Linked DNA regions of Mus musculus. The protein of the gene in region 3 interacts with the protein of the main gene of each other region in a pairwise test. Links are inferred from orthologs where the notes say so. Each region holds a gene or a part of one and is shown on either strand. Other genes may lie near its edges.

Region 1 (3,500 bases), about 56 Mb from region 3:
CCCCGTTTCCTCGGCTACCAAACCTGGTGACTATTTTCCCGTTGGGCTGGAAGATAAACACACAGCACGCCTTGTTGTCCACCACAATAATGTGCCCATTGCGGTCCACAGAAACTCCTTTGGGCCCCATCAGTTTTCCTGATCCAATTTTTGTCTGTTAGAAGCAAGTACAGAAATATACATCAAAGTTCAAAGCATTCCAGAAACCAACCTGAAGCTAGTTAGTTGTCTTAGGAAAACATTGGCTGAAATGTTATCTCTGTCCCAGAAAAATGGCTCTACCATATTCAGCATCTGCTACAGACATTTATATAAAAGCTTTATTTTTAAGGCATTTGCCACCAAATTTGGACCACAGTGCCCTTCTAAACAGACACTTGATGAAAGAGTACAAGGTCTAGAGAGAGATCTTGCTCCTGCCTGTCACTTGCTTTGAGCACACCGGAAACTACATTTCATACTCAGCACTAAAATCCTGGGCAAACTGGAGTTCCGGGAAGAAACGCTAGACACCAGACTCTGTAGCCTAGGAAGTGGAGCGTCAGTGGTGGCAAAAGGAATGTTTACCTTTTATTTTATACTTTTCACGTATTTTTAAAGCCTATTTGTATGAGCTTTTAAATTAAAAACTAATCCCCACTAATTACGTTTCATACATTCTGCTATGAAGCCCTCTCCTACCATATTAGCACTGGCAGATAGAAATCTGTGAGCTACAGATATACATTTTAATTTTTTAGAGTTATTTATATTACTTTATGTGCATGAGTATTTTGCCTATGTGTATGTCTGGGTATCATGTGTGTGCTTGGTGAACTTAGAGGTCGGAAGAAGACATCGAATCCCCTGGAACTGGAATTACAGATGGTTGTGAGCTACAAACGTGGGTGCTGGCTTCTCTACAAAATCAACAAAAGCTTCATCCACTGGACAATCTCTCCAACCTCCCACATATGTACTCTTCATTTCCTAATGCAGATGGAGTTTCTCCAAGTAGAACTTCTTGTGTGACTCTTTATTCTTTTAAGTCTACAAATGACGGAGATTCAGGTGTGATTGCCTTCAAGCAGAGAGACACAATTACATAGAAAGGGAAACATCTTGTCTTAGGCCAGGGAATCTCTTGTGCAAGTTTGATTCTGATGCTGCAATGAAGCCCACGGATCAAAGAGGCTCTAACATAATGGCATGTAAGGAAATCGCTAACCTCTTTCAAGTCTAAAAGGAAGGTATCACGAGAGATCAAAAGGAGAGCTGGCGCTCCGCTCATTAACCGCCTAATACACTACTACTTAACGTTACAAACATCAGTAGTTACTCAGAATGACTCAACCATATGATACCAAGTGGATAATTATCTAGAATGAAAACAGAAGCCAAAGGATTATCTTAGTTCTACTACAGGATGCCCGGATGCCGGCTAGGGCAGATCTACAAGCACAACTTAAAGCTGAAAAACAATGTTGCTTTCTCCCTCCACTATTGTGTCCACTTCAGAAGCACTGAATTCTACAAAGTGAAATAAGAAGCCACACATTTGGCCTCACCGTGTTACCCCCACTATCTTAGACTAGTAAGAAACATATTTCAGATATGTTGGAGACAGTTAAACAAGAGCATTTAACTCAACAAACAGCTTTCATGCTGAAGAGGGAAACGTTGAGACATTTTAGAATAGTAGCCATAAAGGTCGCCATGTTTGTGTTTCATATGTATATGGTTTTTTTTTTTAATTTTAATGTTTTTCTGATTACAAAAGGTTCCCAGCTGGTCTGGAAGATATAAGCCATGAGGGAAGATGAAAGGGAAGACATAAAAGGAGGCAGGGGAGGATGACTACTCGACTACACACCAGATGTCTATAAAAAACGGTAGTAAAGATGCTACACATCTGAGATGGTCAGGAGCAAGTATAAAGACCATGTTGGATCTCCTATAAACTTCCATTGCTGCTCTAGCATCTCTCTTTCCAAGCTGATAGTGCTCCTGCGAACATGGTGAACGTGCCTAAGACCCGCCAGACATTCTGCAAGAAATGTGGGAAGCACCAATCCCACAAGGTGACACAGTATAAGAAGGGCAAGGACTCTTTGTATGCCCAGGGAAAGCGGCGCTATGACAGGAAACAGAGTGGCTATGGTGGGCAGACTAAGCCTATTTTCCGCAAAAAGGCTAAAACTACAAAGAAAATTGTGCTGAGACTAGAGAGCGTAGAGCCCAACTGCAGATCTAAGAGGATGCTGGCTAGGAAGAGATGCGAGCATTTTGAATTGGGAGGCGACAAGAAGAGAAAGGGCCAAGTGATCCAGTTCTAAGCCGATTTTGTTATGAAGACAATAAAATCTTGACCATTCAACCCCTTTGATTACAATTGTTCTTTTGGGAGGGAATAAATTAAAAGCTTTCAGAAATTATATATATATATAAAAAAAGACCATGTTGGGGTAAAAGAGAAGTCAGCTGCACTGTTGCGTTCACTGTCTCATTAAAAGAGCAAAGCAGCAATCTTCTGATACTCAATTGTAGCCTGCACACCTGGGTGAACTTTTTACAGTACTCGAGTGCTCTCATATGCTCTTTTTACCTTAATGGGGTCTAACCAACATCTATCCTAACGAGGTTCTTGCTGCAACAGGCAATATCCTTCTCCATCCTCTGGGGGGCAGGAGTGCTCCAAGGTCTTTGCACTCCACAGTGTCTACAGCACTTGTGACCAACAGAGCCCAACTTTAGGATTTCAGTTCTTCCAAGTATTTATTATGTGTATGGAACTATCAAGTCATGAGTGTAAAATATGTCATTCAGGGAGCCATTCTCTCTCTCAGCTAGCAAACTCTTGCTCAATATGCAAAAGCTGCTTGCTGTTGTATTTGCTCCCAAAGGTACAGATGGCTAATTTTTTTTTTTTTTTTTTTTTTTTGGCCAAAGTCTAAGACAAGCATAAGCAGGTTGTCTCCAAACTAGAGTTCTTCTAGAGGACAGCAAACAGTTTTTCTCCGTGTTCCTACCAGAGTTGTCACGGTTGGGTGTTGGAAGATACAGAACATGAGAGCTTCCTGTACCTGTGGCCGTTATATGGAGCTGTCAGGTTCTAGCGGAACAAAAAGATGCACTATCACACTGTTAAAGGAGACAGCCCTTTATTTTCTTAGATTGAAAAGGTACTGCCTCACATAAAGCAAGGGCTCTAATCTGAGAGTAAAAAAAAAAAAAAATGTAAAACCCATCTCATCTCATAAATGCCATCTTGTAAATACCATGAGGTAACCATGACAACCTAAAGCCTTCCAGTGCCTTCGATCAATGAGAAAGGTTCCAGAATGAATTAGGAAAACACACCCCAAACCCTCAGAGAAGGAAGTAATGTGGTGGCAACTAAACACCTTCATTCAGCCATGAAGCCCAAGTCTCAGCTGCTCACACAAACTTTATGTTATGCAAATGATCACAAGAGGCATGGAGAAAAACATTTCTTAGATGAGGCCCATGTAAAAATTCAG
Region 2 (3,500 bases), on a different chromosome or scaffold from region 3:
CAAAGTTAAAACATTAGTGTTGCCTCCTATGTGCTGGGGGGTCTCTTCCTAAAGTGGGCTGTATGGCCAAGTCCATTCAGAGTGGTTCCATGTTTGATTCTCTGTGTCGCCCCCTCAAGAGTTTAAAACACAAAAGACTCAGCTTGACAGAAGAAACAGCCACCATCAGGAAGAACAGCAAGGGTGAAGGGCTCGAAATCTTATTCTTCCTTTCTTCCTTCCTGCCTGCCTGCCTGCCTCCCTCCCTCCCTCCCTCCCTCCCTCCTTCCCTCCCTCCCTCCCTCCTTCCCTCGATTCCTCCCACCCATAGGACTGACATGGGGCAAAATTACTCAAGAGCCTTATCAAACTCAGTGCCTGGCGTTAAGTTAGGCTCCTCCCACCATGCTCCTAAGCCCTGCTGAGCCTCAGGATGTCCAGAACTGGTCACTCAGTGCTCTAATTCTGTGAGACAATGGCCAAAGAGGAGGCCCTGTGCTGAGCCACGTACGCATGGGTGTAACTTTTCTGCGTAAAGGGTTAACCAGAACAGTGGGTCCCTGAGAGCTAGCTCCTGTGGGCATCCTTCCTGTTCCCACACTTTGTTCTGCCAAGCCCTGGGATCTAGTGGCCCCATCTCCTTCGCAGGCCACTTACCAAACATCCCCCTCTGTCCTGTTTTTGGAAGGGACACCTTAAATGTTGAACCTCCATCCGCCCAGGTCCCTGAGGGTCTCCCCTTGCCTGCAATCTTTGCAGTCTAGACTGTTCCTTGCTGAACTCCTCCATCCTCCTCTGCCCCTCAGAGCTGTAAGACTGCCTGCCGTTCTACAGACCTTTTCCTATACTGAAGGACCAGCCTCTGAAAAAGCACGGATATGATACCTGCAGCCTTCTGACCTACAGGCTCCACGGTCCAGTGTGATAACCTTGTGCTTCTCAGCCTGGGCTAATCCTGTTTACGGCTCCCAATGGTTCTATCCACCAGGCCCTACTGAGTGTGCTGCACTCAGCAATGACTCATCATGTGCGTTTTAGAGGTGTAAAGGAACTCTGTGGTTCCATCCTATGTTTAAGGGACTGGCGGTACTGCAAATGGGTATGTACATGCATGCACATGCACACGCATTTCTTTGAAAGACCAAAGCACATCCAAAAAGCCCCACTTTCAACAGGTACAGGGGTGGAGGAGAGGCCCTGCACAGAATCTACGAGACATCATGTCGCACATCCCAGTCCCAGATATTCACCTCCTCTGGCCGGCTCAACACGTGTCCCTCGGGGCCCGTGATGCCCAGATCCAGGATCCTCTGCTGTTCCTGTAATGTGCATAGAAAGCCGAGTGGTCAGAGAAGGTGGGTTTCAGGTGGCGGATGCCAAGAGACCTGGGCAAAAAAGCTCCCTAGCAAGAAGTTCAGTGGGCCCTGCTGGATACCGGGTGTCATGCCAGACCTCAGAAAGAGGCATCACTATACTAATTCCAATCCCACTTGAGCAAGACAGATCCTCTAGAGCCCCTCAATATGTTCAGCATCCCCAGGGAAGCTGACAGCCACTCTTGGCCCACAGCACAGTAATATGATGGTATCCAAGTGTGACTACGGTGTTCCTTGACTCCATCCAGAACAGCTACACTGCAGTGCCAAAAGAAGGGGCCTTTCTATAATGGAAATAAGCAATATGCCTTACCAAACACTAGCAGAAAGTCCCCGAAGAGCCTTTGTACCAGACCATACGGCCCTCTGGATTTTCACACTGGTGGTCCAGCTTCAAAAGCTGTCCTACACTCTTGAGCTTGCTTTCCAGGAGAGGAAGAAAATATGAAAGGATGGGTCCCTTACCTCAGCAATGATGTCACCATTCTCTGCGTGGACTTGAGCTATGGCACCGATATCCCGGATCACGCTCAGCACTTCATAGATCTGAGGAAGAAGGGAACGAACTCAGAGACCCAAACCTGCAAGTTTCTGGTCAAAGGAAATCATCCCCTGGGTTGAAATGGCACCCAGGCTGCTGTGACAGGCTTGGCTTGGCAATAGGCTCAAGGGGACTGCCTTCTGGCCACTCTGAGAGTCAGAGAGGCAGCCCAACCAAAAGGACAGGGGTGAAGTGTGAAATGCAGGAGATGACACCCAGCTCTGCACCAGGTGTGACCAAGACTCTCAGCACTACCACTAGGCCACACAGTATCCTGATTAGAGGTTACGGTTTGATATGAGAGTTTAGAAGGGCAAGACCCCATCAAAGGCTAACTTCATTAAACTCCAAACCTGCCACCCATATCCCATCAAGCTATGAGTGAGCTATATACACACGCGGAAGAAATGTTTCCCCAGATGGCAGCCATAACCAAACTAAACAGAACATCAGGAACCTACTCAGAAAAGTTGGCTTTCTTACCTGGGAATCCGTCAGCTGGAATCGATCTTTGAAAGCCATGTACACGAGGAAGGAGTTTACCCCTGGTGACAGACAAAGAAGAGAAGCAGACACGTGACTTTCAATACATAAACTCAGAGCAAACAATCTGTTCACACGTGTGTGTGGACCTGTGCACATCTGTGCAGGGGAGCGGGTGTTGAGGGGACAAAAGAAGAGAGAAGGAGATGGAGAGCCTGAGTACAACAGCACAGCCACATGCCTGTCATCCCAGCTACTGAAGCGGGAGGATCACATGTTCAAGGCCTGTCTGAGCTACAGGGTGAGTTCAAGGTCGTGTAAAGTTTAGAGAGAGAGACCCTGTCTCAGAAAACACAAACTAGAAAGTGCTCAATATAGCGCTCAGCGTAGAGTGCTCGCCTGGCACCATGAAGTCCTGGATTTAATCTCCAGTACCACAGAATGAAAGAGGAAAAGCATGACAGAGACAGAAAGACAGGCTACAGACAGACAGGCAGACAGGCAGGCAGAATGACAAAGCAAATGGGAAGCTAGGACCAGGGTTTCTGGAAATTGTTTTTGCAGTTCTGACTTTCCTGTTTGAGAACTTCACAGGTCTATCAAAATTAAAAGCTTGCAGTCTGTAGCTACATAACACTACTGACTCCTGTCTGTAGTAACATAACTCACAACGATTGGAAGTGGAAGCCCCACCCCCACCAGCCAGTGAGCATCAGTGTCACCGTCTCAGCATCACTGTGTCAGCATCACCAAACAGTCTCTGTGTAAGCTGGAACACCATTCGGTCTGACAAAGGACATTTGGCTGTATGGGACAATGGGAGCAAACACAGAAGCCATCCTGCTGAGTGAAAACAGCAGTATCAAAAGATGGGTGCTGAAAAACCCCATGGACGGGAGGGACACGGGACAGGCCAGTGTCACAGAGAGCTGTCAGTGTCACAGAGAGAGGGTAGGATGGGGATACCTGGGCTGGAGGAAGGGGAAGGAGCAATTATGGAGATGGATCTTCATTTTGGCAAGATGAAGTATCCTAAATGTAGAGAGTGGTAGTGCGTGCGCGCGGGTGTGTGTGTGTGTGTGTGTGTGTGTGTGTGTATGTGTGTGTATTTGTATGGGTGT
Region 3 (4,284 bases):
AGCTTAGGAACCAACCTCTCCAAATCTGGGAAGGCAGCCACCATCTACGCTTCCATTTGTGGGCATCACCTACTGGCCCTCGGAGACAAACGGACCTGCACACCTAGCCTACCACAAGACTGCCTGACGCTCCCAGGCCTGCTGAGTACAACTGTCTGCCCATCTGCATGTAAGTCTTCCAGCCAATAGCTCCCCCAGACACTGGGAGTAGCTGTTATCCTAGCTCTTTGCACACACCAGTGCAGGCAGAGAATTCATTGGGCTTCTTGGGTGACAAAGAGCAATCTCAGTAAATCATACAAAGATATCTGTTCCACATACACATAGCAGAGCCCGGGAGTTTCCTCAAGTATGCATCAAGGTGCTCTGTGCTTGGTATCTCAGAAAACCTTGCCCACAGGAGCTAGTCCCCTCCTCCCAGCCCCCCAACTTAAAAATCATATCAGGGAGAAGGATGCTAAGATTCCTGCTCAGCTATATCACAAGGCTGCCTCATTGTTCAGGCCTCCACCTCTTAGCCACTCCTCCTTCTCCAAGTCTGGTCCACCTGATTAACTCACACCATAGCAACTCCCAGACAGAAGTAGAGCACACACCATGGGTGAAGAGGAAGCCGCGCTTGTTTAAAGCACCCACTCTGCTCCCAACCCCCACACTTAGCTACTCACTGGTTCTGAATGTGGCCTTTGGGCACCAGAAAAACAGACAGCTTACTGTAATCATGCATGAATGAGCTTCTGCTGCCCCACTAGCACAACAGGCCGTTTCATAGGGCAGTCAGTCCTCAACCTTCGAGTTGTCTCTCTGAATTGTCACCTCTCTCTCTCTACCAAAAGATATGGGAAGGGGCAAGGATTCAAGGAGAGGGAAGAAAAGAGACTCGTGGAGCCTGAAGAAAAAGTATCACCTCCATCAGACAGGTATCTAGCCCCTTAAAATATTTGTAGAGAAATGTAAGGGCAGGAAGGCTTTAGTAGACACAGGTAAACGGCCTCAAGATTCTAGCATCAATCTAACAATGTGTTCCGGAGAACCACTGAACTTCCACCCCTACTGGCGGTGGGTGACATGAGATGAGACACCATCTCTTAGGTCTCACCTACCCTCCAGGCATCAAGCATATGCATTTGCTGTTTATTTTATTTTTAGTTCGGGAGAGGAAGAAACTAGTGGAACTGAGATTGGTGTCCAATCTTTCTCAGATGCCTGCTGCTGCCAAGGCCACCACCCCTCCTCACCCCCTTCCTGGCAGGCAGCATCTAATTAAAATGGCAAGAGCGCTCGGCCCCCTTCCCCGAAGGAGTGTGCTGGGATTAGAGGTGGGGGTGGGGAAGCGTCGAGGCTGCAATGGGATTCCTGGCAGTCTGATTTTCAAACAACAGCAAAATGGATTCTAGATCACTAAAGTCTTATTCAATACAATGGAACGACGTCTGAGGTGTTTCATTAGGTAAAGGCAAAGCGGCCGGGCTCGGGGAAGGGAATATGTTTTACAAAGGACTGTTCACAGACCTGGGACACACACACACACACACACACACACACACACACACACACACACACACACACACACAGGCACACAGGCACACAGGCACACACGCACACACAATCTCTCCAGGGAGTTCCGGTGTGGTGAGGAGAAGCGGTTAAGCTTCTCTTTCACCTGCTGAAGTTCAGCCATAAAACTGAAAGGTCACAGTCACCGAGGGAAGGAATAGGCAGGGCTGAGTTCAAACCACAGATAAAGGTGAGTGCACACTGGCATATAGGGAAGAGCTGAGCCGGAGCCCCAGCACCGGAGACAGAAGCCGGGAAGGGAGTCAGTTAGCACCTACAAGACCAGCCCAGAGCAGCAATTACTGCTCCATTGGAGCAGCAGGGTCCGCTGGTAGAGACAGCTAGCTCACGATGGCATCTTGCAGGTAGCTGGCAAACGTGAAGGGCCAGTGCCTTTCTTCTCCAAGAGAATCTTTTGCAGCAAGGAGCAGTCGGGTCTCGCGCCTTGGCACGAGACGGTTGCCCGGGTACACACACACACACACACACACACACACACACACACACACACACACACACCAGCCTTTCATGTAATGCTCTTACACCGATCGAAGATGAAACTGACAAGCTCTACCAGCTTCCTTGCGGAACCTCGGGAACAGCCTAGGAGCACAAGGGGAGCCCAGCCCCTGCTGTAGGGGTAGGGGCTCAGCCTAGAACCCCTCGGCTGCCCCGGAATTAGAACAGAAAGGCAGGGAACGTTCCCTCTTTCAGCCCTAGACCATTGGAAAAAAAGGAAAAAACACGTTCTGCTCACCCTCAGGGCGGAGAGATCGATTTCATCCAGGCTGCGAGCTGGGGAGTCGCTCGCCATGTCGACTCTTCGCGGGAGAAATGGACCAAAACCACCCCGAAGCGTCTTCCTTGGCAATTCCACCCCGGTCTATTTCGCTCGCGTCCTCATGCGGCTGTCCGCCAGAGAGGCCCGGGGCCCAGCCTCCCCCGCCCACCCGGGCCCCAGCAAGAGTCCGATCCCGATCTTCCGAGAGCGTCGATCCGCGGGATCCCGGAGCCCGACCTGCGCGGATCTCCAAGCCCGGAGCCGCGGTGCGTGTGGGCTGCGCGCCCTGATCGGCTAAGGGCGCTGGGGCTGCGTGGGTGTATTTAAATGGGACATGCTTCTTTGCTTGTGCGTGGATGGCGGCTGCATTGGCTGTTATAATGAGACATATCAACTCCTCCACTCAGCTGGGAGGTGGGGGTGGAGAACCACACAGAACTGTCTATCACCGCTTCCTGGGAGGAGTGGGGGGGGGGGGAGAGGCGTGGTCTCCGACTGGGGAGAGGCCGCGCTTCCTGACCGGGTCCCTCCGCCACTAGCCAGGGTGGGGGAGGGGTACGCACCCTTTCCGCCCCAGCTTTTGAGGGTTAATAGTGCTGAATCTAAACAGCCGTTTTTGAGCCTCTCTGTGCAGGAGCCTGAATGCTGAATATATATTTTTAATGTGTCCAATTTGTGCAGTGCACCAAAATGGCTCTTCGATCGTATCTTGGGGTTTCTTGACTGCGTTCAGATACTCTAATGGTGAAAAGGGTGGTGGGGAGAGGCAGCGGGAAAAGGCAGCAGCGTCCTCCCTCCCCCATTAATTATTTGTGGGGCTGGAGTAAAGGCGGGCCGGTGCAACCGGTGCATATAAGGACTTGTGCGCAGGGAAGGGGATCCGCCTCCCCGCGCAGAGCGAGTTGGGGAGAAGCTCACACGCGCCGAGCCGGCAGCCTGGCTTTGGTGCTGAGCAGTGGCCACAGGGTCACGGTCATTCGCGGCCACTGGGTTGCAGGAAGGCAGGCCCGAATCGTCTGTGGTTCTCTAGGCTGAGTAGGTTTGCTAGAAGCTGGAAATCCGAGAGATGTGAGCTCTGTCTGGATATCGCCACACCCAAGACCTGCGCGTGCCGCAATTCCCCACGGAAATGACCGAATTGAAAAGAGAAGCTTGCTCCCTGGGTGCAGTAGCTCGAAGGATTCAGGTGACTCCAAGGCCGACATTAATTGGGCAACATAGTACCTAACCCAGTGTTTCCTCCTTTGTAGCTTTTCCGCGGTGACCTACCTGGATTCATGGAGAAAGTTTGGCTCTAGGATAGTGAGCCCTGACCCGCGAGCTATTTGACTTCGCTCGCTTTTTCACTCAAGAGCTGGGTGTTTGCAGTGGTAACCCGTCATTCTTTATCAAAAGTGTAAAGTCACTTCCCCAACCCTCTCGCATCCTTGCCTGTCTCCTAGTTTGGCCACGCAAAATACGTCGGAAGAAAACATTTATAGTGAACTCTTCCCACTGGCTTCAACTCATCAATAGTTCTGAGTGTTCCTCTAGCATCTACTGAGATAAAAAGCTAAACATACTGGGGGGGGTTGATTTTTATTTGACTTTTTGTTTTGTTTTCTTTTGGGGGGAGTAGAGGTTCTTTTTGATTTATCTTATTGGTTGTTTGATTTGGTATGGTTATGAGACAGATCTTAAGTACTTAAAGGAAGTCTTCCCTTCACTGTGCAGCTGGGGATGGCCTTGAACTCCTCATTGTCCTGCAAATGACCCCCCCCCCCCCGCCCACCCAAGTACTCAGATTACACATGGACACCAACACTTGGGCTGTTGCCACTTCTTTTTAAAGTCATGAAGAATAAACTAATTATGAGCTTCAGAACAAGTTGAAAGAATGAATGAACGGACCAACACTAATGAAATTAGTGTTAGCTGGACTGTTTAGTCTTGGACTCATTGGGGTG
Region 4 (4,136 bases), on a different chromosome or scaffold from region 3:
CAGCACTCGGGAGGCAGAGGCAGGCAGATTTCTGAGTTCGAGGACAGCCTGGTCTACAGAATGAGTTCCAGGACAGCCAGGGCTACACAAAGAAACCCTGTCTCGGAAAACCAAAAAAAAAAGAAAAAAGGAAAGGAAAGAAAAGTGCTGCAGGACCTGTTCGGGACCCTGGATTCAATCCCTAGCGCCTCACAGAAGTAAAAAGAACAAGAAAGAATGCCATGCCGCTGTCCACTTAGAACTCAATCAATTCCCCTTTTTTAAGCCAATTTTGTGCCAGCCCTTTCCCACCACAGCATGCAGACACCGCTGAGTTTCAGAGAACTAACTGCCCAGCTGGGAATGGCACCTTGCAGCATGCATGCGCGTGCACACATGCTCCGGAGCACTGTGCCTGTACCCCCTTTTCCACCATTCCATAGTCCTTGCTAAGACCGGGAAGTAACAAGGCTGGAATTACTGGGCAGAGGAAGAAGCCACTGGATCCCTGCTGTAATTGTGTGGATCCTACATTCACCTTCTCTATGCTCTTTGTGTTAAAAAAAAAACATTTTCAGATCATTCCCTTATGCTATGCATTCATCTGAAAACAAAACAAAACAAACCTCTCCTTTAGTCTTTCCTTACAATACCGGTTCATTTCGATAATTTCACCAGAGTATGAAAATATTGGGCGATGGAAGAACTGGACAGTATTATCACTTATCACTTCTAAAGATACCTCACTTCCTGTTGTCACAACCAGGATAAGGGCCAACAGGTAGTCCCAGCATTCAGCCAGTTTCTCTAGATGCTAACATTGACCTTAGATAACCACAGATGCTCTGTTCATTTTTCCTCCACCGTGACGTGACCCACACTAGCCAAGTGTTCTCTACTTTGTATAATCCGCCAAAGTATTCGTTAATTAGTTTAAAAAAAAAATAGCCCTGGAATGGTCCAGAAAGGTGGCTCCACGCACACTCACTGAACAATTACATGTCTAGCCCTTAGAAATCATTGGTAATTATGAAATTGTCCGGTCCAGATGCCTAAAACTTTGTTTTCAAGACTTTCCAAGATAGCAGATGGCCCAATCCCATATAGAGGGTATCAGATACAGGACCGGCTTGGGAAAGTTCCAGGAGGGCATCACAAAGAAACACTGAACTGTTTAAAGACAAGCGAGGCTGAGCTGAACTGGCCCTCCTGGGAAGGGATGTGAATTGTCACAGGTATGCCAGCTGGAAGGAGTGAGCTGACATCTGAGGACCCTAGGCGCAGAAACCCGCCGCCATCACTCGACCTCTAGAAACATCTGGGAAAACTACAAAACTCCCGTGTTGCTTTTCGCTTAGGCGGAGGCAGGGGAGCCCCGCTGGGCGCCAGCAAGGACCTAAACGCAGCGACCCGGGTCCTCCCCGCCTACATTCTCCATCTTCTCCATTCATACGTCCATCAGCGGAGGACTGAAGACCAGAGCGAAGGGAAAAGCCAGAGTGCATGGTGTGTGGGAACTGCGTCCCACCCTCTCCCGGGAGAGGCTCCGGCGAGCCTTTCCCCTCCGGCGCCCGCCTCACGCGGCGGCGCCCACCGCCTCAGTGAAGCCCCGGGCGCGCAGTCTGCGCAGTTCCTGCCGCCGGGCCGCGAACCAGGGCCCGCAACGCGGCCCAGCCTTCTCCGCCCTCCTCGCCGTGACGAATCGGCGCCCGACTGGGACGGGATCCAAATTGGAAGACTTCTGAGGAAACCCAGGAGCCTGACGAAATTTTTTTTAAAAATCCTTGGCGCCCTAAGCCTCGCCGCGTGCTCACTGGAAGGGCTGTTCGTCTGCCGGGAGCCGGCCGCGGCCGGCAGACAATTCCCGGGAGCGTGTGGAAAGTGCGAGCGCGGAAGCTCCGGCGCGAGGGGCGGGGCGAGCGCGGGACAAAGGGAAGCGAAGCCGGAGCTGCGGGCGCCTGCTCGGCCCGCGGGTGAGTGTTTCCCAGTGGGCCCAACCCGGTCGGGGAAGGGTGGCGAGCGGTGGTGTTTCTGCTTGGCGGGACCCCGAGCTCCCGCGGGGTGCTGGGGTTCGGCCTCGGCTGCGAGGCGGGAGCTAGAGCCGGTGCGGCCTCGGTGAGGCCTAGCGGCGGCGGGGCAACCCCGTCCGGAACAGCTCCTCGGAGGCGCCGGTAGTCCCTTTCCGCGGGACTCCCGACGCCGGTGAGCACCAATGCACAACCCCCTGCAGGGGAGTTTCCAGAAAAGCTCGCCCTCCGCCCGCCACAAAACTCCAGGGAAAGGATCTCCGGAAACCCTCTGGGCAAGGCCAGCGGGGATCCTCACCCACCACGAAGGTGGTCGTCCCCCCCCCCCTTTGTTTATTTTTATTTTTTATTTGGTTCAGGCAGCGACTTAAGGATTCCCGGGGTGGCCTGGAGTGAAGTCTGAGACGGTGTGGGTTGGGTTTAAACCCATCTCTGACAATTCCGGGTCTCTGGCCTTAGACACTTAATCGCCCCGAGACTGTTTTCTTCCTTTGTAAAATGGGGACAGTCATACGCATCGGGTAGGGTCGTTGTGACTAGTGAGTAAGACTGTGTTATAAGCCTGACCAGTAAGGTAATTAATTCAATAAATACAGAGTTGCGTCCCAGGCACAATGGTTAGATCCACTCACTACTAGAGTTTATATGCTTAGCCCGGGAGAGCAATCATTTGTAAGTATTAGCAGTGAAGTGTAAGGTACCAGGGACCCTGTCACAGTTTCTGTCGGGGCTCCCCACAGCAAGGCCTACTGGGTGTTGATGGAAGGAAAAAAAGAGATGAATTGAAAAAACTTAGCTATTTCCACATCAGAAACTCTTACCTTGATGATTTGAGGCACTTCCTTAAAATGAAAACTAGGAGAAAAAAAAGTGTATTCACCATCCTTCTAAAAATAAGTTTTCATCTCTTATGCATTACCATTTGTGGTCTATGTTGAGTAAGGAACAAGCTCAGATATGTCCATGTTTCGAGCTGGCCATACTAGGACCAAATTTATGAAGACTTGAGCTATGTTTGAATAATACAGTAATAAATTAGACCATCCCTCCTCTCTTGCAAGGCAAAACCTAGCACATTCACATGTTGTTGGAGGGAAAGTGCCGCTGGTCTTTGTAAGCCATGTAGGAATACAGAGACGAGATATAATTTATTCTGTCCCGATGATGTATCAAGAAAGTACCTGAGATAATTTCTGAAATGAGCTGTAAAGGAACAACATGTGTCCTGTAAGTAGCCTCAGAAAATTGTTCCCGGCTCTTATGAAACTATTTACCAACAAAAGAGAATGTAAAGTTTGTTATCATACTGACTTACCTTTCACACTGCCTCCAGGAATAAGACATGACTCTGTTTCAATGAAAGATGTTCCCTAAATAAGGCAGAGCTTCTAATCAGGGGTTGTCAGTATCTGGTAGGCCTTGTTGGGGTCACCCGGATAATACATCACATTCTATTGTCATTATTTTTTTTTATCAGTCTAAGTAATCGTTTGCATGGCATCAGCAAAATGTTTTCCATACAAGACGCTGCTCTCAGTATCATAAGCAAAAACCTAAAAATCCATCTCTAATATAACTCTAAATTTCCCAGTAATTTATTTTCATCATTTAATTCTGATCAATCAAATGAATGTAAGAACTAGTTAAAAATATGCAAAAGGCTTGATTACTAGCAATTAATAGTGAAGTAATTTTGCTCAGAAATACCAAACTACCCTATTCTTTAGGAAAACATTCTCTTATGCTTGCTGAGTTTTGATTCTCTTTTTTTTTCTTTTTTTTCTTTTTTTTTATTTTAGTGTCTCAGATTCATTCTTAAGGAACTGAGAACTTAATCTTCCAAAATGTCAAGTAAGTTTCAATTTTTATATTTATCAATCTGTGTTAATACGAGACTAATGCCCTAGCAAATGGGAATTCCAAAATACTCTCATTTTTTTTTTTCTTCAAAGCAGGACCATTGGTAGTTTTGTTGCATAGTATTATATCTCAGTTGTTTACAAGAAGTTATTTATTTTCTTTCAAACAGAAAGACCATCTTATGCCCCACCTCCCACCCCAGCTCCTGCAACAGTAAGTTTTAATTTTCTTGTTAATGTAATAGCCAAGTCTGGCCTTGATACAAAAACC
Region 5 (3,500 bases), about 69 Mb from region 3:
TTTATTTTGATTAATTTTGGTTTATAGAGACAATTGAGAAGAAAAAAGTTCAAAAACCTCCCATTCTTCTGCACCCATCCCTCTGGATTACGGAGGGCTGCTATTTTCATTACATTTTGCCTTTTTACTCCTTCTCTGTGTCTGGCTACATTAATAATAATAATAATAATAGCTATTATTATTATTATTTTAAAAGCTTCCAAACAAGTAATTTACTCTAGATACATCCACATGTATTTCTTAAGGACAAGGACTTCTCTTATCAACTGCAGTACAAGCTAAGGAAATGTGTACTGCAGAAATGCTGTTCCCTAATGTTGAACTCATTCAAAAAATAAAGTTTGCCAGGTTTTCCAGTAACACAAATAGGCCTGGTAATTGGAATATGACTTTGATCCTTTGATACCTTCATTCATCTCATGGTTAAACATAGACTGAAGCAAATATGTGGTTGTAGCCATATTCTTTAGTAAGTCCCCCTTGTCTTTAAATTCTGAGTCACTCGCTTTATCTGACAGAGTAGCGTAGGGTTTGTGTGAACGGGTGGGGAATGTCAAGGATGGAGGGAAGTAGCTCCTATGGAAGTAGCACATAGGGACATCTGTGAAGTGGTACTCCTAGCACGTAGCAGGACTGTCTGCTGGAAGTCACCTCATCATTTGTGCCGCAGCTATGGTTTCCAGCTTTCTGAAAAAGGAGGCCCAGTTTGAACATGAAAATCAAATGGCTTATTGGCTGCGTTTACTCAGTGTGCTTGTCTGCCCTGCTGCCTTCTAGCCCGTGCCTAAAGGGTTACCCACGCAACAGAAGCCGGACTTGCATGAGACCCCTACAACCCAGCCACCTGTGTCTGAGTCCCACCTGGCAGAACTCCAGGACAAAATCCAGCAAACAGAGGCCACCAACAAGGTACATCAGGACTCGCTCTAGTCCCGCTTCATCATCCTGAGTCTGTGTTAGAGTCTGAGAGATGAACGCTGGGCCATCCCTTGTTCTCTACAGAATGGCCAATTTAGAAGTATAATTCTATACTTTTATCGTTATTTCCTTTATTGTATGTGTGAGCTGCGTGTGTGTGTATGTGTGTGTGTGTGTGTGTGTGTGTGTGTGTGTGTGTGTGTGTACTACAGCTCAGTCTCAGGAATTGCTCCTCATGAGGTATCTATCTACCTTGGAGTACTTTTGGAGACCATCTTTCACTAGGACCCAGGGCTTAAAAATGAGGCTAGCCAGAGATGCATCTGTTTCCACACTCCCAGAGCTAGGATTCTAAGCACACACCTCTAAGTCTGGCTTTTTATGTGGCTGCTGGGGATTCAACTCAGGTCCTCTTCTCTCTGTTTCTTATCAGGATTTTAGTTTGTCCCACATATACAACATTTCCTGATGCCTTTTGGGAATGAGATCAGATCTCCATGTAATCTTTAACTCTACAGTAAAGCTCTGATGCAAGAAATTTGTGCTTTAATTTTTTTGTTTTGTTTTGTTTTGTTTGTTTTTTTTTTGTTTTTTCGAGACAGGGTTTCTCTGTAGCCCTGGATGTCCTGGAACTCACTCTGTAGACCAGACTGGCCTCGAACTCAGAAATCCGCCTGCCTCTGCCTCCCAAGTGCTGGGATTAAAGGCGTGCGCCACCACGCCCCGCTTTAAATTTTTGTATATCTTCTTACCCTTGTTAGCTCATGGATTTTAATGTCTGTTTTCAAGGCACTTGTCCCAAGGGGGCTCTTGAATATCTGGTCAAGTGTGCTCTTATAATAGCCTTTCCTGTACTAGATAGCAGGCACTCCTTGGTCATATGGGAGAGTCAAGAGAATACGCTGGCTGTTGACATAAAGAACGTGTGCAGTGCATGAGAACTGAGGTATCTGCGCATTGAGGGAAGCAGTGCACATCTGCTGCCTCTCTTCATAGTCTGATGGTTACAGTGCACGGGAAAGGAGTAAGGCGGTATGCCCTAAGTTGTTCTTTAAACCCGAAACGCACAGGACAGTGTGATGGCCCTCGAGGTTAAAAGTCATCATGGAGCTAACAGGACTTTCTCTGCTGAATTCAGATTCTTCAAGAGAAACTGAATGACCTGAGCTGTGAGCTGAAATCTGCACAGGAGTCATCTCAGAAGCAAGATACGACAATCCAGAGCCTCAAGGAAATGCTTAAAAGCAGGGAAAGTGAGGTGAGAGGCTACGTGGTCACAGACCTGTGGGGAGACGGGTCACGCTGGTGACGTAGATAAGTGCTCTCTATTTGTAGATGTCACTATTGTCAGGCCAGCAAATCTTTCTATGGGAAATTGTCCGCTAAGTAGGTGCTTTGGAAAGCTCCTGTCCCTAACATCTGCACAGGAGAGAGAAGGACTTTCCGAGTCGTTGGCTAACCTTAGCACGCTATCCTCCTCCTCTCATTTCCAGACTGAGGAGCTGTACCAGGTGATCGAAGGACAAAATGACACAATGGCAAAGCTTCGGGAAATGCTGCACCAGAGCCAGCTCGGACAGCTCCACGTACGTGAGGGCCACAGGCAGGAATGGGGCCGCCCTGGCTGCCCGGGTCTCCCGGGGGCTCCGTGCTTCCCTCCCTGTGACTGTGATTGTGATTCTCCTCTTTTCAGAGCTCAGAGGGCATTGCCCCTGCTCAGCAACAGGTAGCCCTGCTTGACCTTCAGAGCGCTCTATTCTGCAGCCAGCTTGAAATACAGAGGCTCCAGAGGCTGGTCCGGCAGAAAGAACGCCAGCTGGCGGATGGCAAGCGATGTGTGCAGTTAGTGGAGGCTGCAGCCCAGGAGAGAGAGCACCAGAAGGAAGCTGCTTGGAAACATAACCAGGTAAATCATTAACCGTTCTCTTGCTCCCAGCGCTGACTTTGCCCCACCATGACTTGTGAGCAGGACAGTTTGTGCCCAACCTAAACCCTTGCATCGTTGGCCTACCCAGTGTGGTCAGTGTTTGTTGCCCCCAGAGGTCATGCACCAGATGAGCAGACTGTGTCCTGGAAGTACAAAGGTAGATATCAGACTCTGCCTTTTTATTTCTACTTTAGCAGGAGAGGCAGTCACACGACAGATGTTAATAGGATAAATACTCCCAAAGGGTCTGGCTTATGTTCCCATAGCTATGTCCAGGAGGGTCGGAGGAAAGAAGTCAGAGTGCTTACGCCTCGTGCAGGAGGAGATCGCTGAGGTTATAAGGATAAAGTCAGCTGAGGCCGATGAGGTAGCTCAACAAGTGAAAAATGCTTGACTCACAAGCGTTTCCGCCCCAGAACTATGCCGGAAGGAGAGAACCACTTCCTGAAAGTTGTCCTTTGACCCCCACGCGGGCGTACCTGCACTCATATAAGTAAGACACACACCAATAAATAAGTAAATACATAGATTAATTAAATTGAAAAAGTCATTGAGTAAAGTAGAGAAGGGCATGTCCATGCATAATTAGTCATATAATTTAAATGTATGTAGCATTATACAGTCCTTAAATAGTCCTCTATCTTGTTAGCATGGA
Region 6 (4,005 bases), on a different chromosome or scaffold from region 3:
TGTTTTGAGAGTCGGAGATTAAGCCAGGAAATGTTGGAATCATTTCTACAAGACTCGTTTTTTGCTTTTTGGTTTTTTTTCCAAATCTGGATAGAGGCCTCACATGTAAAATGAAGAGCTTGAACAAAACAATGGCCGAACACTACAGTTGGCTGATCCTGATTCTCCTAAGTCTTTTTTTTTTTTTTTTTTTTTTTTTTTGGTTTTTGGTTTTTCGAGACAGGGTTTCTCTGTGTAGCCCTGGGTGTCCTGGAACTCACTCTGTAGACCAGGCTGGCCTTGAACTCAGAAATCCGCCTGCCTCTGCCTCCCGGGTGCTGGGATTAAAGGCGTGCGCCACCACGCCCGGCTTTTATCTGGTGTTTTTTTTTGGAATAAAATAAAAACTAAAAATGTCATTACACATTTTGAAACATTTTTTTCATTTTGAAACTTTTACACCCACTAAAAACCTTAAAGATACATCACATAAACGAGCCAGCCATTTTATCTCGACTAGCATCAGAATAAAATACAGTACAAAGTCTGATATTATGTGAAGTCAGAGTATAAGTGTCCAATTTAAGGGGAAATAATATTTTCTAGCTGTAATTTTGCTAGTTTTAACTCAAACACAAACTTCTGTGCTTCATTGGCAATCACCTTCTCATCGTAATCATTTTTCTAATTGATATGTACATTTTGATTAATCTTGTTTCCTTATCACATTAAAAATAAAAAAACACCCACATCTTACCATTTCATTCTGTGCATCTCAGTTTTAAAAGCCTTGAAATGTTCAGACTGTACTACATTAATGGCAGTATGGGAGCGTCCCTAATCCTTAAATTGTTCTGGGAGCATATGTGTAAGGGTAAAAACTGTCCAGATAGTACTAGTCTGAGATAAATCCCTTCACTTTGGTAAATACTTCCACTATATTTAAGTGTCTGAATCATGTAATTTTTTTAAAATGGCATTCTGTAGGTCCTTTTCTGTGATAGTTAAAAAAAAAAAAAAAGAAATACTCAACCATTAATGCTGTTTATCCCCAGGTGGTGGTATTACACGCCATTTTATTTTTGCATTTCCCCAAAACACACAATTCCCCTGGTAATTGAACAGTATTTTAAAATTAATTACTGGATGGTTTATAAAGTGTGGCATCCGCACAGTCCAATTCTACAGATCTGCTCAGTGGCTTTTCCCTTTGACAGGCTGCTGCTTTTAACAGGAGAATGGTTTGATCAGTTGTCTATGAGGTCTGATGAAGACAAAATAGCTTTCTTTTCTAGCCCCCTCCAGGCTTTGGAGAAATCCAGGAAGTGGGTTTGAACTTAGCCGCAGTGAATCTTGCGATAGTAAACTTTTGGGGTGGTCAGAGTAACACCTTTCATTACAACTATTAGCTGAATGGCAAAAGACTCTCGGGTTTCCCAGTGTTTGCAGAGGCATTATTTCAGAACAATTCCATTTGGAAAGAAACGCGATTGTAAACCGTTTCTATTTCAAGCCCATAAAAAGCAGAACTCGGATGAAAGGCAAAGCCTTGACCTTTCTATTTTAGACTTGCATCTGGGTAGCTAAGCCATCTGCTTTTCTCCCACCTCCCACCCCATCTACTTAATGGACTGAAAATACTGCACTTAATTGCAATTTTATCCAACCAGGCTGACTTTTCTGACTTACGACCTCGTCTTTTCACCTAACGGCTTGCTCGGTAGGGTTTTACTTACCCTTCCTTCCCAATTCCTCCCTACCGCTCTCAATTATATGCTGTCAAATGTCTGCAAAGTATGATACTAGGCTCTCACGTAAGAAAGCCATCTATAGAGCCTTTTCATTTCAACAGTGAGCGCCTGACGGAAAATCTAGGGGTCTGGGCTCCTCTGGGCACCGACGGTATTAGCTTTGTTGCGGTTATGTAGAAAGGCACCTCTTACTGCCTGTAAAGGAGTCGCGCGTCCCCACCGCCCAACAAGGAACGCAGCCCGGGAAAGGACAGACAGACGAAGGTGGGAGGAAACCCCGGGAAGAAAGGCGCAGGGAAGAATGGGGAGCCCAAGACGGGAGGGAAGACCTTGGCAGGAAGGTTCTGGAGGAAGGTGTGCGAAGTGGCCGAGAAGCTGGCCGAGAGGGCCAGCGAAGAGGGGCCGGGGGCAGGCGGGGGGGACCCCGCCCGGGTGCCCCGCGGGGACATGGGTAGCGGGGACGGGAACCCAGGCCGGCACCCCGGGGATGGCGGCCCACCCGCGGCCGAGCCCCGCTACTTAACTATTTGTAGAGCTGCTGCAGGCACAGGTCCAGGCTCTCGCCCTCCACCTCCTCTCGGGTGATGCGCTCCGACAGCGGCCGTGGGAGCGGGGGCAGCGGTGGCAGCTGGGGCTGCGGCGGTGGCGGCACGGCCGAGTGCCCCGGGGCAGCCGCTTCCTCCTCTTCCTCCTCCTCGCCCTCCGTCGCCGTCTCCTCCTCCACCGCCTCGTCTTCGGGCTCGGGGTCTTGGTCCTGCTCCCCCTCCTCGGTCGCCTCTACCGTCGCAGCGTCCTCCCCCGGTTCCTCCCCCGAAGCCTCGGCCGCCTCAGCCGCGACTAGCTCGGCTTCGGGCTCGGGCTCGGGCTCGGATTCGGGTTCGGGCTCTGGCTCGCCGCCACCGCACGGTCCGCGGAACTCGCCCAGGAACAGCTCCAGGAAGCGCCGGTAAGTTTTCTCCTCAGGGATGCAGCCCGCCATCGTTGCTCATGCCCCGAGGTCCACCGGGAAGGGGGTGGGAGGTGAGCCCAGGAGGAGGAGGGGGCTGCTTCGGAGCCTCGCCTCCCGCTACGGAGGGGGAACGGCCGCACGGGCACCGGCGATCAGCACTGGGTTGCCTGGAGAGGGCTCCCGCAGGCGTGCGCGCCACCGAGCTCGGACGTGCGCGGCCCGGGGGCGGGGGCGGAGCGCGCCACCCCGCTCCGGTCTGGAGGGAAAGTTGGTGGCGGGCGCGCGCACAGGGTCCAGCGGCGGCCCACCCGCAATCCCTACCGAGAGCTCAGCCCACGCTGCCTAGAGACTGTCGCCATGGCAACCGGTTCTAATTAAGAATTCCAAGGTCCCTCCCGTCGAGTCTGTGGAGTGGTAAGGACGCTGGACTCCTGCACTCCAACTTCGAATGGTCTTTGTGGGGTGAAGACCCTAGTTTCATGATAAGCACTGAGACATCTCTGTTGGTTCCACCAGGAGTGTACTGACTTCAGTTTCCTTATCTGCTTGCCTTGCCGTAGTATATCTCTTGATCCGATGGCACGCAGTAAACACCTTTTACTAATGATATGTGTTGAAAAAGTAAAGGTCCAGGCACGAGCACCCAAAAAGGGTAGTTTCCTTTGTCTAGGTTCTTTCGTTTGATTCTATGTATCCTCCTTTCTCAAAAAGATGAACGTGAGAAATTAAACAGTAATTCGCTTGCTTAAAAGTCAAGACTTTCTAGCTGTGGCATTGGTGTTAGAGCCCCTTTCAAAGTCTCCAAAGCCTTTAGAATCTTTCCCCTTAACTCTGCTCTATGAAAATCTAGCTGTGCCTCGTATCTACACAATGTCTTATTTATATAGGGCTTTGCAGTTTACACGTGTTCGTCTCTAATCCTCACAGCCTTTTAAGGCAAAGGTTATTACCGTTAGGATTCTGTTTTACAGATGAGGAAACAAGCCTTCAAAACAGTGACTTTGCTCAAGGTCAAAAGCAAGCGATGCAACAAGAATTCAATCCGAGATTGAAGTGGTAGATTTCACTTGTAAGTTTTCCATCACCCAAAAACCCCTGCTTAGTTTCTGTATAATGCATGTCATTATATTATATTATCCTACCATATAATCCGTATTTTGTCTATATTTTGTTTGTTCTTCCCCACCACCTCCTGTGTCTCTTCTTACTCCCTCCCCCAAGCTAGAACTGAAATGACTTTAAATTATTCTAATTTTCTTACCAAACTATAAACAAACCTATTATTTTCAGGCTTCATGGTGATGATGTTGGTGGTGGGTGCTTTGA
Region 7 (3,500 bases), on a different chromosome or scaffold from region 3:
TGGCAGCACTCAGGGAATGGTGTCTATTGTTCTTCATCTGTTAGAAGAAATTGTATTTATCATGAAAATTACTTATTATTTTTTATTTTGAGATTATAATACACCTAGATCCATTTCTCCTATTAAGCTATTACTTACATGTATGTATGAATGTGGAGAGAAGCATGGTTCATCTATGGAGATCAGAGAGTAGCCAGCAGAGGCTCTCTCCTTCCACCACGTGGGCACTCTGCCCACTGCAGCTCTGGCACCCAGAGCAGAAGAAGAAGCCATTAGCATGGGTAGGGAAGAGAGTGAGCAGGCTCTGCAGGGCTCTAGGCAGGAAGCAGTGTGTCAGAAAGTGCAGCCTGTGCACTTACCTGTGCCACCTGCCCTCTGTAACTGAAGGTTCTAGGTGCTGGCAGTGGTTGTCATAAATCATTGTGATTTATGCGATCAGAGGAAGGCCGCTCGGTCACATTCAGCTTTTATTCCTTTGATGGTTTTACTCCACGGTAGTGGGATAGTGTCAGGAGACATGCATTCTTCATGGACCTCTGGGCTACTGAAGGCTAGTGCAGAAGCAAGCCATCGCTGTGAAAGAATAGAGATAGGCATCTCCACCAGGGTTGTTTGGTTTTTCCTTTTTTAAGAAGAATACTAAGATTAGGATAATGGCTTCAATATGATGTGGTCTAAATTAGTAGCAAAGCTTGAAATCTGGCCTGCTTTGACAGAGTTCTGTCACAGCAGCACTGAAAAATATATGAAAGTGCAGCTTGTCCTGTGTGCCCGTTACCTTCCCAACCAGAGGGACAGGTGGCTAGACATCAGAGGCCACAGGGTCATTCAGGTTAGAGGTCACTCTCCTGAGAAAATCAAGGTTTATTTTGACATTGCTTGTTCACTGCCATCTAAATGCCTTCGCCCCTCTGCCAGCAAAGCTGACTGATGACCTTGGCCTATTAAAAGGCATGCGCGTGAGTGTGTGTGTGTGTGTGTGTGTGTGTGTGTGTGTGTGTGTGTGTGTGTGTGTGTGTGTTTGTGGGGTCTTTTTGTTTTTTACCTATTTGACACAGTAGCAGATATGGAGATATCCAGGTCAGCTCAGTCCAGAATCTCCAAAATAGGGCCTTGGGAAACTATACTGCATACCAACAGTTCTAAAATGGAAATCTGGCCCCGGATTCCATCTCAGAAGGAAAATTCTCGTACCTTCTCCATCCCTTCTTCAACATTCAAGTCCTTTTCTTTTCCCCCATTCTGAAATTATTATCATCAACAGAATGCCAGGAAGATAGTTAAGCTGCTGTATGATGGAAGGATAGAGGTGGACAGTGGATGGATGGGGGAAGGACCAATGAGTACATTGCTGAAGTGGTGATGGACGAGGGAAATTGGGTGGGTGGATAGATGGATGGCTAATAGATGGATGGATGGATGGATGGATGGATGGATGGATGGATGGATGGATGGATGAGTGACTCTTCCAAGCAATCTCTCAGGTAGGCCTGGGTAGCGAGCTTGCCTGCGGATGGTGATAGTCCACCTGGGAGTTACTGAGGGAGCAATAGTGGGTGATAAACTCAGTCTTAGCTAATGGTCATCCTTAGTCAGGGAAGGATGGGAAGGCAGTCAGGCCCTCTGGGTTAGACATCTTTCTTTCAACAGAACCCAGACATGGAGGTGGATGAGAATGGCACCCTGGACCTGAGCATGAACAAGCAGAGGCCTCGAGACAGCTGCTGCCCAGTCCTGACACCCCTGGAACCCATGTCTCCGCAGCAGCAGGCCGTGATGAGCAGCCGATGCTTCCAGCTGAGCGAGGGGGATTGCTGGGACTTGCCTGTAGACTACACCAAAATGAAGCCTCGGAGGGTAGATGAGGATGAGCCCAAAGAGATTACCGTAAGGAATTGTGATGTGAGAGTACCTTCTCCTTGCCCCTGCATGTATTTGTTAGGAGCCAAGAGAGGCCTTAAGGAATAAGAGTCATTTTCACACTCTTCAAAAGAAAATGCGTTTTCTTCCTAAATTTGATGCTTAGCTGACAAGGACTCAGAGAACAGTTTTGGTTGATTCAGGGGAGATATACAACTGATATTGATTTGAGAGAAACAGACTATGGACTGTTTCAGACTTTATTTTCTAATAAATATGTATAATTACAAGTTGTTTCTCTAGGAAATTAAAGAAAGGATCATATTATTTTATTTTCAACAAATCAATACTGTATTTTTATGATAAAGTATAGGTAGGAGTTTTGGTGGCACATGCCTGTAACCCCAGTGTACAGGCAGTATAGGTAGGAGGGTCCAGAGTTCTAGGCCAACTTGAGCTATATAGTGAGACCCAATTGCATTTAAAATAAGTACTTATTAGTGTGTGCTACAAATAAGCTCAAGCACTTAGACTGTACTTCTTGTATAATACATCTTAGTACAGTCATCTGATTCTTTGTTTATGGCAGTATTTTTAAAATGCCTATGTTAAAGTATATATTTTAGTTTGGGTTTTTAAATTAGTTTACTTATGCAATAGAGTACCACTTGATCTAAAAGATATTCTTTCTTGGTGTGCTTGTGCTTATGGGTATTAATGTATGGGGGTACCCACATTCACAAATCAGAGAAGGCTGTCTTCCTATGGCCCTCTCCGCCTTATGTCTCTAGACAGCAGGGCCTCACGGAGCTCACTGTCTAATGAGACTGACTTGCCAGTAGACTCTTGTGCTTCTTTTTCCTTTCCCAATACTGACGCTAACAATACCCACACCACATCCAACTTCTTACATCGATGTTGGGAATTCAAACTTTGGTCCTTGTGTTTGCAAGGCAAGCATTCTTACCCATCAGCCATCTCCCCGGCCCCAAGAACTTCTTTTCTTCTTCTTTTTTTTTTTTTTTGGTGTTTTGTTTTTTGTTTTGTTTTGTTTTGTTTTGTTTCTCTGTATAGCTCTGGCTGTCCTGGAACTCACTTTGTAGACCAGGATGGCCTTGAACTCAGAAATCTGCCTGCCTCTGCCTCCCGAGTGCTGGGATTAAAATTGTGTGCCACCATGCCCGACTAAGAACCTCTTTTCTTTACTTTAGACCTTTTTCAATGCTCAACTCTGAAAGTTCTCATATTTATCCATTGTAAAAAAGAAAAAAAAAAGAATAAAATCAGAGTAGAATTTGGAGCCCTCATCAGACTAACAATGACTTAGAGTGGGAAAGGGACTGGTGACAGGTCTTGCATTGAGCCTTTTTTGGGTTTTCGTACTGTGTAGTCCTGTTTGATCTCAAAGTTACAGTGATCCCTGCCTTGTCACCACACCCCACCCCCAATGCTAGATATAGAGATATGTGCTGCCTCACTCAGCGTAGGCGCAGTCTACCCTTGTTCCTCTTCAGTTGCTGTCATAAAACAACATGGCCAAGGCAACTTAAAATTGGAAGGGTTTAATTGGGTGTACAGTTTCAGAGCATTAGAGTCCACAGTGGCAGAAAGAAGGCATGGCAGCATGCTAAGAGCTCACA

Evidence for each region.
Region 1: the proteins of Tnik (region 3) and Trim2 interact in a two-hybrid assay, tested with the Homo sapiens proteins (2 studies listed by BioGRID and IntAct). The link is inferred for Mus musculus from reciprocal best matches to the Homo sapiens genes TNIK and TRIM2.
Region 2: the proteins of Tnik (region 3) and Dpysl2 interact in a two-hybrid assay, tested with the Homo sapiens proteins (2 studies listed by BioGRID and IntAct). The link is inferred for Mus musculus from reciprocal best matches to the Homo sapiens genes TNIK and DPYSL2.
Region 4: the proteins of Tnik (region 3) and Smarce1 interact in a two-hybrid assay, tested with the Homo sapiens proteins (2 studies listed by BioGRID and IntAct). The link is inferred for Mus musculus from reciprocal best matches to the Homo sapiens genes TNIK and SMARCE1.
Region 5: the proteins of Tnik (region 3) and Pde4dip interact in a two-hybrid assay, tested with the Homo sapiens proteins (2 studies listed by BioGRID and IntAct). The link is inferred for Mus musculus from reciprocal best matches to the Homo sapiens genes TNIK and PDE4DIP.
Region 6: the proteins of Tnik (region 3) and Ppm1e interact in a two-hybrid assay, tested with the Homo sapiens proteins (2 studies listed by BioGRID and IntAct). The link is inferred for Mus musculus from reciprocal best matches to the Homo sapiens genes TNIK and PPM1E.
Region 7: the proteins of Tnik (region 3) and Myt1l interact in a two-hybrid assay, tested with the Homo sapiens proteins (2 studies listed by IntAct). The link is inferred for Mus musculus from reciprocal best matches to the Homo sapiens genes TNIK and MYT1L.

The regions. Positions count from the first base shown.
Region 1 is NC_000069.6:84,172,780-84,176,279, forward strand, and holds part of Trim2 (tripartite motif-containing protein 2), read right to left. Parts: intron 2,415-3,500; exon of another isoform or gene 1,859-2,414; intron 155-1,858; coding exon 1-154. UniProt on the Homo sapiens protein: UBE2D1-dependent E3 ubiquitin-protein ligase that mediates the ubiquitination of NEFL and of phosphorylated BCL2L11. Plays a neuroprotective function. May play a role in neuronal rapid ischemic tolerance.
Region 2 is NC_000080.6:66,827,542-66,831,041, forward strand, and holds part of Dpysl2 (dihydropyrimidinase-related protein 2), read right to left. Parts: intron 2,442-3,500; coding exon 2,380-2,441; intron 1,902-2,379; coding exon 1,821-1,901; intron 1,299-1,820; coding exon 1,230-1,298; intron 1-1,229.
Region 3 is NC_000069.6:28,261,730-28,266,013, reverse strand, and holds the start of Tnik (traf2 and NCK-interacting protein kinase), read right to left. Parts: upstream 2,801-4,284; 5' UTR 2,372-2,800; coding exon 2,315-2,371; intron 1-2,314. UniProt on the Homo sapiens protein: Serine/threonine kinase that acts as an essential activator of the Wnt signaling pathway. Recruited to promoters of Wnt target genes and required to activate their expression. May act by phosphorylating TCF4/TCF7L2.
Region 4 is NC_000077.6:99,228,218-99,232,353, reverse strand, and holds the start of Smarce1 (SWI/SNF-related matrix-associated actin-dependent regulator of chromatin subfamily E member 1), read left to right. Parts: upstream 1-1,336; 5' UTR 1,337-1,952; intron 1,953-3,805; 5' UTR 3,806-3,850; coding exon 3,851-3,857; intron 3,858-4,035; coding exon 4,036-4,079; intron 4,080-4,136. UniProt on the Homo sapiens protein: Involved in transcriptional activation and repression of select genes by chromatin remodeling (alteration of DNA-nucleosome topology).
Region 5 is NC_000069.6:97,756,208-97,759,707, reverse strand, and holds part of Pde4dip (myomegalin), read left to right. Parts: intron 1-777; coding exon 778-909; intron 910-2,056; coding exon 2,057-2,176; intron 2,177-2,411; coding exon 2,412-2,504; intron 2,505-2,611; coding exon 2,612-2,824; exon of another isoform or gene 2,825-3,338; intron 3,339-3,500. UniProt on the Homo sapiens protein: Functions as an anchor sequestering components of the cAMP-dependent pathway to Golgi and/or centrosomes.
Region 6 is NC_000077.6:87,356,195-87,360,199, forward strand, and holds the start of Ppm1e (protein phosphatase 1E), read right to left. Parts: upstream 2,801-4,005; 5' UTR 2,710-2,800; coding exon 2,255-2,709; exon of another isoform or gene 1,832-2,254; intron 1,700-1,831; exon of another isoform or gene 1,335-1,699; intron 1-1,334. UniProt on the Homo sapiens protein: Protein phosphatase that inactivates multifunctional CaM kinases such as CAMK4 and CAMK2. Dephosphorylates and inactivates PAK. May play a role in the inhibition of actin fiber stress breakdown and in morphological changes driven by TNK2/CDC42.
Region 7 is NC_000078.6:29,849,884-29,853,383, forward strand, and holds part of Myt1l (myelin transcription factor 1-like protein), read left to right. Parts: intron 1-1,650; coding exon 1,651-1,887; intron 1,888-3,500. UniProt on the Homo sapiens protein: Transcription factor that plays a key role in neuronal differentiation by specifically repressing expression of non-neuronal genes during neuron differentiation.